Linked DNA regions of Ovis aries. The protein of the gene in region 1 interacts with the protein of each later gene in a biochemical or structural test. Links are inferred from orthologs where the notes say so. Each region holds a gene or a part of one and is shown on either strand. Other genes may lie near its edges.

The links. The genes of interacting proteins can lie anywhere in the genome.
Region 2: the proteins of LYN (region 1) and FASLG form a complex in vitro, tested with the Homo sapiens proteins (2 studies listed by BioGRID, with this or other methods). The link is inferred for Ovis aries from reciprocal best matches to the Homo sapiens genes LYN and FASLG.

What each region holds. Positions count from the first base shown.
Region 1 is NC_056062.1:36,228,778-36,232,289, reverse strand, and holds part of LYN (tyrosine-protein kinase Lyn), read right to left. Parts: intron 2,845-3,512; coding exon 2,713-2,844; intron 1-2,712. UniProt on the Homo sapiens protein: Non-receptor tyrosine-protein kinase that transmits signals from cell surface receptors and plays an important role in the regulation of innate and adaptive immune responses, hematopoiesis, responses to growth factors and cytokines, integrin signaling, but also responses to DNA damage and genotoxic agents.
Region 2 is NC_056065.1:39,431,126-39,435,212, reverse strand, and holds the start of FASLG (tumor necrosis factor ligand superfamily member 6), read right to left. Parts: upstream 2,811-4,087; 5' UTR 2,601-2,810; coding exon 2,265-2,600; intron 1,179-2,264; coding exon 1,133-1,178; intron 1-1,132. UniProt on the Homo sapiens protein: Cytokine that binds to TNFRSF6/FAS, a receptor that transduces the apoptotic signal into cells. Involved in cytotoxic T-cell-mediated apoptosis, natural killer cell-mediated apoptosis and in T-cell development.

The DNA of each region.
Region 1 (3,512 bases):
TAAGGACATTTCTGTAAGCAACGTAATCCTATAAAGGAGGGCAGTACGAAGAGGCTCTAGGCAGCATTCAGCTGCCAAAGTAAAAACCAGTGAACGTGATAAGCAGAGACAGAGCGAGTTCTCTTTAACGACAAAAGGATGTTGGACCTGACAGATCTTGTGAATAAACAAGCCCAATTCTAACATTTCATCTCACTGTCTTTTGCACTATTTTTTTCCCCCAGCTTCTAATGGTAATTAATTAAAAAAAAAAAAAACCATCATTTTCTCACCTATTATCTCCCAATACTTTTTCAAAATCAGCTTTTCATTGCAAGTTTACTTAAAGAAGTCAGGATCCTTAAGTGAGCTAGACCAACTGTTTCATTTCCACTCCTCAAATTGTCCTCAGGACAAGAAGAGGCAGAGCTCGGCAGGCTCTGGGGAGGGAACCAGCGTGCCTGCGTGCTACGTCACTTCAGTTGTGTCCGACTCTTTGAGACTCCATGGACTGTAGCCCACCAGGCTCCTCTGTCCATGGGATTCTCCAGAATACTGGAGTGGGTTGCCATTTCCTTCTCCATGGGATCTTTCTGACTTAGGGATCCATCCTGTGTCTCTTAAACATCTCCTGCACTGGCAGATGAATTCTTTATAACTAGCTCCACCTGGAAGCCCAGGGCACCCACTATTCCTGCCGGGCTCTGCAGGATTGCTGACTGTGGAGGATGGCTTTTACTCTAATCACTTGTCTCAGGTTAGCTCAGACACTGAACTGTCCGTCTTTGACACTGAGAAGAGCTTTAAGGGGAAAAAAAAGGTCATTTTAATAGTATTTTTCTCCATCATTAAAATGGGATAATAAAACATGCTAATTCAGCCATTTTAGCAGCCTTCCCTGGTGGCTCAGTGGTAAAGAATCCGCCTGCAGTACAGGAGACCTGGGTTTGATGCCTTGGTTGGGAAGATCCCCTGGAGAAGGGGATGGCAACCCACTCCGGTATTTTTGCCTGGAGTACCCACGGACAGAGGAGCCTGGCGGGCTACCGTCCATGGGGTCGCAAAGAGTTGGACACGACTGAATGAATAAGCAACAACAACAACAGCAGGGGCTGGAGGTGGGTAGGTGGGTCGGGGAGTTAGGGTCTAATGGGTACAGTATCAATTTGGGAAGATGAAGACGTTCTGGAAATGAATGATGGTGATAAGTCCAGTGGGTGAGGGCAAGGTGGCCAGGATTCCATAGGAGGCAGTGATGCGGCTCTGGGCCAAAATCTCCTTCTCTGAGCCCCAGAGCCTTGTCCACAGATCACTGTGGAGCATGCAATACCTACCACACAACACTTGTAAGGTTGTATGTTTATTGATCAGGTGTCATATATAGGCAAAGTATATAATCTTTCTCTATAGGTTGCAGATTATAGATAGATATCTGGGCTGATTCAGAAATACCGTCCCCATTTTGCGGTGGTTTTATTCATTAACTTCGGTGTCTAGAGCAGAGCAGCCACCAGAATATGAAATCTGGCACCGGAGGGTTTCACGGGACCGTCAGCCCACTGTGTAGGCCCCACCCAAAGGCTTCCCCCTCCCGCCAGCCCTCTAGGCCCAACAGCAGCAAAGGTGACTAGGAGCCTAGAGGCCACATCACTGCTCCGCCCCAAAGTCTCCCATCTCTTGCAAAGTCAGAGGTGAAGCCCCTGGGCAGCCTCTGAGGCTCACATCCGCTCCACGTCATCCCCACACCTCCTGCCCCTGCTCGGGACCGGTGCTCTGGCTGTTTCCCCCATGGGACACCCAGCCCCGGACAGCCCCTGGGGCTCTCTGCCAAGGCACTGAGTCCCTGCTGCTACTGGATCGCTTTTAGAACCTGCACCCCACCCCCTCACCCCAATCCCTAAACCATCACACCCTCCCCCAACAGCATACTTCCCATCCTACATACGGTCCTTATTATCAGTGATTATTACAAATGATTGTAATTAATACTCAACCATTAGCTCTCAAGGGAGGAGCTGGGACTGCTCCATCCAGCACCTTGGGAATGCTTAGCACCCTCAGATTTTTGAATGAGGGAATGATTTAAACATTAAAGGTTTACTTTTAAACTGGCCATATCCATTGATTTTGTGAAAAGCCCAACATTAACAAGAAAGAGAAGGCTTTGGGGAAAAGTCCCTCTGCTTCCATGTTCTGGAAAAGGGACGGCTGGCAGAATCTGGCTGGGAAGATGCTAGGCATCTGGAAATACTGAATGACGTCCCCACAGCCAGTAAGTTGAGGATGTGAAGAATCATTTGTTTGCAGACAGAGGTGGTTGTCTCTTGAAGTGGCAGAGACTCCAAAGTACATTATACAAATCTCTGTTTCAGAACTGACCAAGCAAGAATCATACAGCATCATTTCTATGTCCGTTTCCTCCACCATCCGGCGCGAGGCTTGGGAGGAGCCCCGTGTCTAGTCCTCCAACCATGTTGCTTCAGCAATATCTGTGACCGCGCCAGGCACATTCAAGGCTGTTGGTGGTGGAATTCATTAGTGGATCGAAAGACATGCACTCAGACACGAAGGCGGAGAAGTGTCTAAGCATATTTTACAATACCTTCCACTAAAGACAAAGTTCTCACACCCTTGTCTTTCCTCTGGATATTTGTTCATCTTTTTTATGTCTCATACCACCTGGCTTTTTTCTCATATATATCCCGCAAATGGAAATAGGTAAGTAAGCAGTACCTGGGTAGGGAATTTTCCCATAGGTGACAATTTCGTACAGGAGAATCCCAAAGGACCACACATCAGACTTGATGGTGAAACATCCGAAGTTGATTGCCTCTGGAGCTGTCCACTTAATGGGGAACTTAGCACCTAGGGGAGAAGACACAGGGGCTTTACTTGGGTCTCTGAGCTGAAACGAAAAAGTCACAGGCGTGTGACTCTCACACTTTCCTTCTTTGAGGGGGAAAGTTTTGATGATTTATTTTGAATGGGTAACACATGCATATCCCAGGTGGCTCAGTGATAAAGAACCTGCATGTCAATGCAGGAGACCCAGGTTCAATCCCTGGGTCGAAAAGATCCCCTGGAGAAGGAACCGGCAACCCACTCCAATATTCTTGCCTGGGAAATTCCATGGATAAGAGGAGCCTAGCAGGCTACAGTCCATGGGATCACAAAGAGTCAGACATGACTGAAGCTGGTGAGCACACAAACACACAGAGGCCTGTCAAATTCTACAAAACCAATATAATAAATTGATCTCCTGGGTCTGAATCCTGGCTCTCCCACTTACTATATGGCTTCAGAAGCTTCTGAGCCTCTCCTTTCTCCTCATATAGAAGGAGGAAACAATACCCTACTTATCATATAGGGTTACTGTAGAGATAAATGAGGTAACGTATGAAAGGCACTTAGAACAGCAGCTGCCTCACTGCACAGCTCACTACCTGCTGCTGTCGACTGCTGGTGCTGTTGTTCAGCTGCTCACTTGTGTCTGGCTATCTGCGACCCCACAGACCGCAGCACACCAGGTTTCC
Region 2 (4,087 bases), on another chromosome or scaffold:
CCTTCTCAGCCCCATTCCACAGCAGAGGTCTTGGGGACATTACTAATCCATCTGGTGTTTTGCTTCTCTTCTGAAAGGTGAGAAGACTGGACCAGATGTTCTCTAACCTCCTTTCCATCTTAGTTTAACGAGTATTCTAAATCCACAGTTTCCAAAACTATGTCCTGAAACTTTAGGAGGCCGATGTTCAACATTGTCATCTTCCTGTCCTGAATTTCACACAGAGGATTTCCCTTTATTATCAAAAGCAGCGCATGATTGTCTCTGAGTGAAGTGGGACTACCCTCTGTAAAATGCCTAACGTCTTCCTCCAAGCTTTCCAGCGGCTGCAAAAGAACCACCCTAATGTGGATGACTGGTTGCCCACTCTTTAAAAGCTTAAATATAACCTATTAAAATTTTAAATCAGGTCTGACTCTTAAGTAATTTTTTTTTTTTTTTTTTGCTATTGCTAAGTCACTTCAGTCATGTCCGACTACGTGTGACCCTATAGATGGCAGCCAACCAGGCTCCCCCATCCCTGGGATTCTCCAGGCAAGAACACTGGAGTGGGTTGCCATTTCCTTCTCCAATGCATGAAAGCGAAAGGTGAAAGTGAAGTCACTCAGTCATGTCCGCTTAGCGACCCCATGGACTGCAGCCTACCAGGCTCCTCCATCCATGGGATTTTCCAGGCAAGAGTACAGAGATTAAATAGGAGAGCAAGGATCTTTCCCAGCAACAGCTGTGTCTGTCTGCACCTTCCCTTCTCTCCTGAGGAGCTATAGCCACCGCCCTGTACATGGGAATCAGGAGGCCTGAGGAAGGGGGCAGGCCTGGAGCCAGCTGCTTGGGGTGTGGGGGGTGGGCAAAGGTCCAGGGTTGTACATCTGTGTTTCTCTTTCCAAATTCAAGCAGAAATTAGTTTTGAATTTTTCTGTGATACTTAACTAATTTTGAACAGTTAAACTCACTTCATATTTTAGGGCAGTTTCAAGAACCAAAATGACAAGAGATTTCAGAATTGGTTAGGATTTCTCTTCTATAGTCTATATATGCCTAAGAATAAGGTGGAATTCAAGGTACTCCTCCAACATGGTTGGTGCTGAGGACTGTTTTTAGAAACTCAACGTGCAAGCATAAAAAAACTCACCTATTTGCTTCTCCACAGATGATGCTGTATGCCTCTGGCTGGTGGACTGGCAAAAGAGAAAAGATACATAATAACTAGATAGCACATTCAAAAGCAGAGACATTACTTTGCCGACTAAGGTCCGTCTAGTCAAGGCTATGGTTTTTGCAGTAGTCATGTACGGATGTGAGAGTTGGACTGTGAAGAAGGCTGAGCGCCGAAGAACTGATGCTTTTGAACTGTGATGTTGGAGAAGACTCTTGAGAGTCCCTTGGACTGCAAGGAGATCCAACCAGTCCACTTTGAAGGAGATCAGCCCTGGGATTTCTTTGGAAGGAATGATGCTACAGCTGAAATTCCAGTACTTTGGCCACCTCATGAGAAGAGTTGACTCACTGGAAAAGACTTTGATGCTGGGAGGGATTGGGGGCAGGAGGAGAAGGGGACGACAGAGGATGAGATGGCTGGATGGCATCACTGACTCAATGGATGTGAGCCTGAGTGAACTCCAGGAGTTGGTGATGGACAGGGAGGCCTCACGTGCTGCAATTCATGGGGTCGCAAAGAGTCGGACACGACTGAGCGACTGAACTGATGAAGTTCTTTAAGCAAAGGAAGAAGAACTGTCAAATAAACTAAGCACTGGAAAGGGAATCTAAGCACCCAGAACCTCTCCTAACTCAGACTCTGGCCAAGCAATTGTGCCTGTCCATGCCTCAGTTTTGTGATTTGAAATAGTTCTAATAATTTTAAGCACTTTCAAGGAAATTTAGTTTGTGCATTTGAACAAATTCACTTCTCAGATGCCAAGTCCCTTTTCTTTCTTGAATCGAGTATGAGGTAGGTAGCAGAGTTCTTCCTCTCTCAGATGATCAGCCAACTGATCATCTGCCAGTCCTGATTTGATCCTGATCCCTCCCAAGATAGAAAATATTCCTTCCACCCATTTGAGCCCCCATTTCTCTGCAGGCAGAACAGGATGGCTAGCGTGATTCATTTCTAAGACAGGAAGAAAGGATTGAGAAGTATGCTGCAAGCCAAGTGTGGTCCATGTGGATTTCTGTCGCCCTCCTCCCCCACTGCAGCAGGGCAGTTTCACCCCATCCCCCACCTCCGCACATTCCAGGGTGCGGCAATCCCCCAGGCAGCTTACCTCTCTGAGTTCGGCCAACTCCTTCTGCAGATGGAAGAGCTGAAATATCCCCAGCCCCAGTCCAACCAGGGCCACCAGAACCATGAAAAACACCACAAGGAGACACAGGCCTGTGTTGTGGCCCCTCCTCTTCTTCAGAGGTGGTGGCGGTAGTGGAGGCAGGGGTGGCGATGGCGGTAGTGTTGGGGGTGGCGGTGGTGGTGGCCTCCTTTGCCCCGGCCTTCCTGGCACTGAGGACGGACAGGGGAAGACTGATCCTGGAGAGGCCCAGGGGGAGCTGGCACTGCTGTCCACCCAGAAGATTGAGGGGTATGGGTAATTCAAGGGCTGCTGCATGGTATCCAGTGCCTCAGGCCAGCCCCCAGCCAAGGGTTTTCCTCTTCCTCAGTCGTGCGGAGGCCCAGGTGTCAAGGGCCGGACTCCTATTTCTGACTGCTCATGAGAAGGAAGCCGGTTCTCTCTTTATAGAGTTTCCAGAACCAAGGGAAACACCTCTCTTTCGTTCTCTCTTTCTGCTTCTCAAAGAGACACCCACTCACTCTGCATCTGAACCTGAGAAGCTTCAAGAAGCTCAGAGCAAACCCCCGGAAGTTTCCGCCCACAACTTTCTGATGAAAGCTTTCAAAACCCCAGTCGCTGCTGCCCTGCTCCCTGAAAGGCTGGTAGGGTGGGCTCGTTGTCCTCAGGCCCTGAGACGGGGGTAGCGTCAGCGCAGCTCTGTAGGCTCCGGCCGCTGTTCAGCTACAAGGAGAGTGGCCTGTGGGGCGAAAGCACCGAGTCACGGCCAGAGGAGTCACTTCTGGGTCTTACCTTTGGCAGGAGGGAATCACCCCCTGCTGCCATCCCTCCCCCACACCCAAGTACTGTTTACCCTGACACAGCAAAGCACCGTAGTTTACAGGTTACAAACTTGCCTGCCTACTCTATAATAGATCAGAGATTGCAAACCAGTGGCCATATGCCTCACAGAGCCCTCAGACCTGCTTTGCTTGTGCCTTACAATGTTGTTTATTTCTATTTACCGTCCTCCTCAAAAAACGGGATAGTCCATAATGCAGACATTCATCTCTGTTTTGCTGAGTCTAAAACTTAGGCCAGAAAAGCACAAGATAAACCAACCACAGATGCCTGGGGCAAAAGATTACCGTTGAGACTCACAGTGGACTGCTGTTATGGACTGAATAGTGTTCTTCCAAAGTGTAAGCACCGAATCCCAATCCCCAGTGTAATTGTATTTGGAGATAATGCCTTTAAGGTGTAATTAAGGTTAAATGAGGTAGTCTGAGTGGGACCCTAATCCAACATGATTAATGTCCTTATAAGAAGAGGTAGAGGGCTCCCTTGGTGGTCCAATGGTTGAGAATCTGCCTTGCAATGCAGGGGACACATATTCCATTCTTGCTCTAGGAAGATCCCACATGGCATGGGGCAACTAAGCCCTACAGCTGCAACCACTGAACCCACGTTCCCTAGAGCCCATGCTCTACAAAGAGAGAAGTCACGGCAATGAGAAGCCCATGCTTGTCTACAACTAGACAAAGCCCACACACTGACAAGGAGCCAGCATAGCCAAAAATAAAGAAATAAATACTTCCTGAAAAAAAGAAGAAGCGGTAGAGACAGCAGGGAGGCATATGTACACAGAAAAGGCCAAGTGAGCACACAGCAAGAAGGTGGTTATCTGTAAACCATGAAAAGAGGACTCAGGAGAAACCAGCCCTACTGACTCTTTGATCGTGGACTTCTATCATCCAGAACTGAGAAAATAAACTTTTGTTGTGTAGGCCATTCAGAAAAATTGGGATAGTCCATATATGTTATAG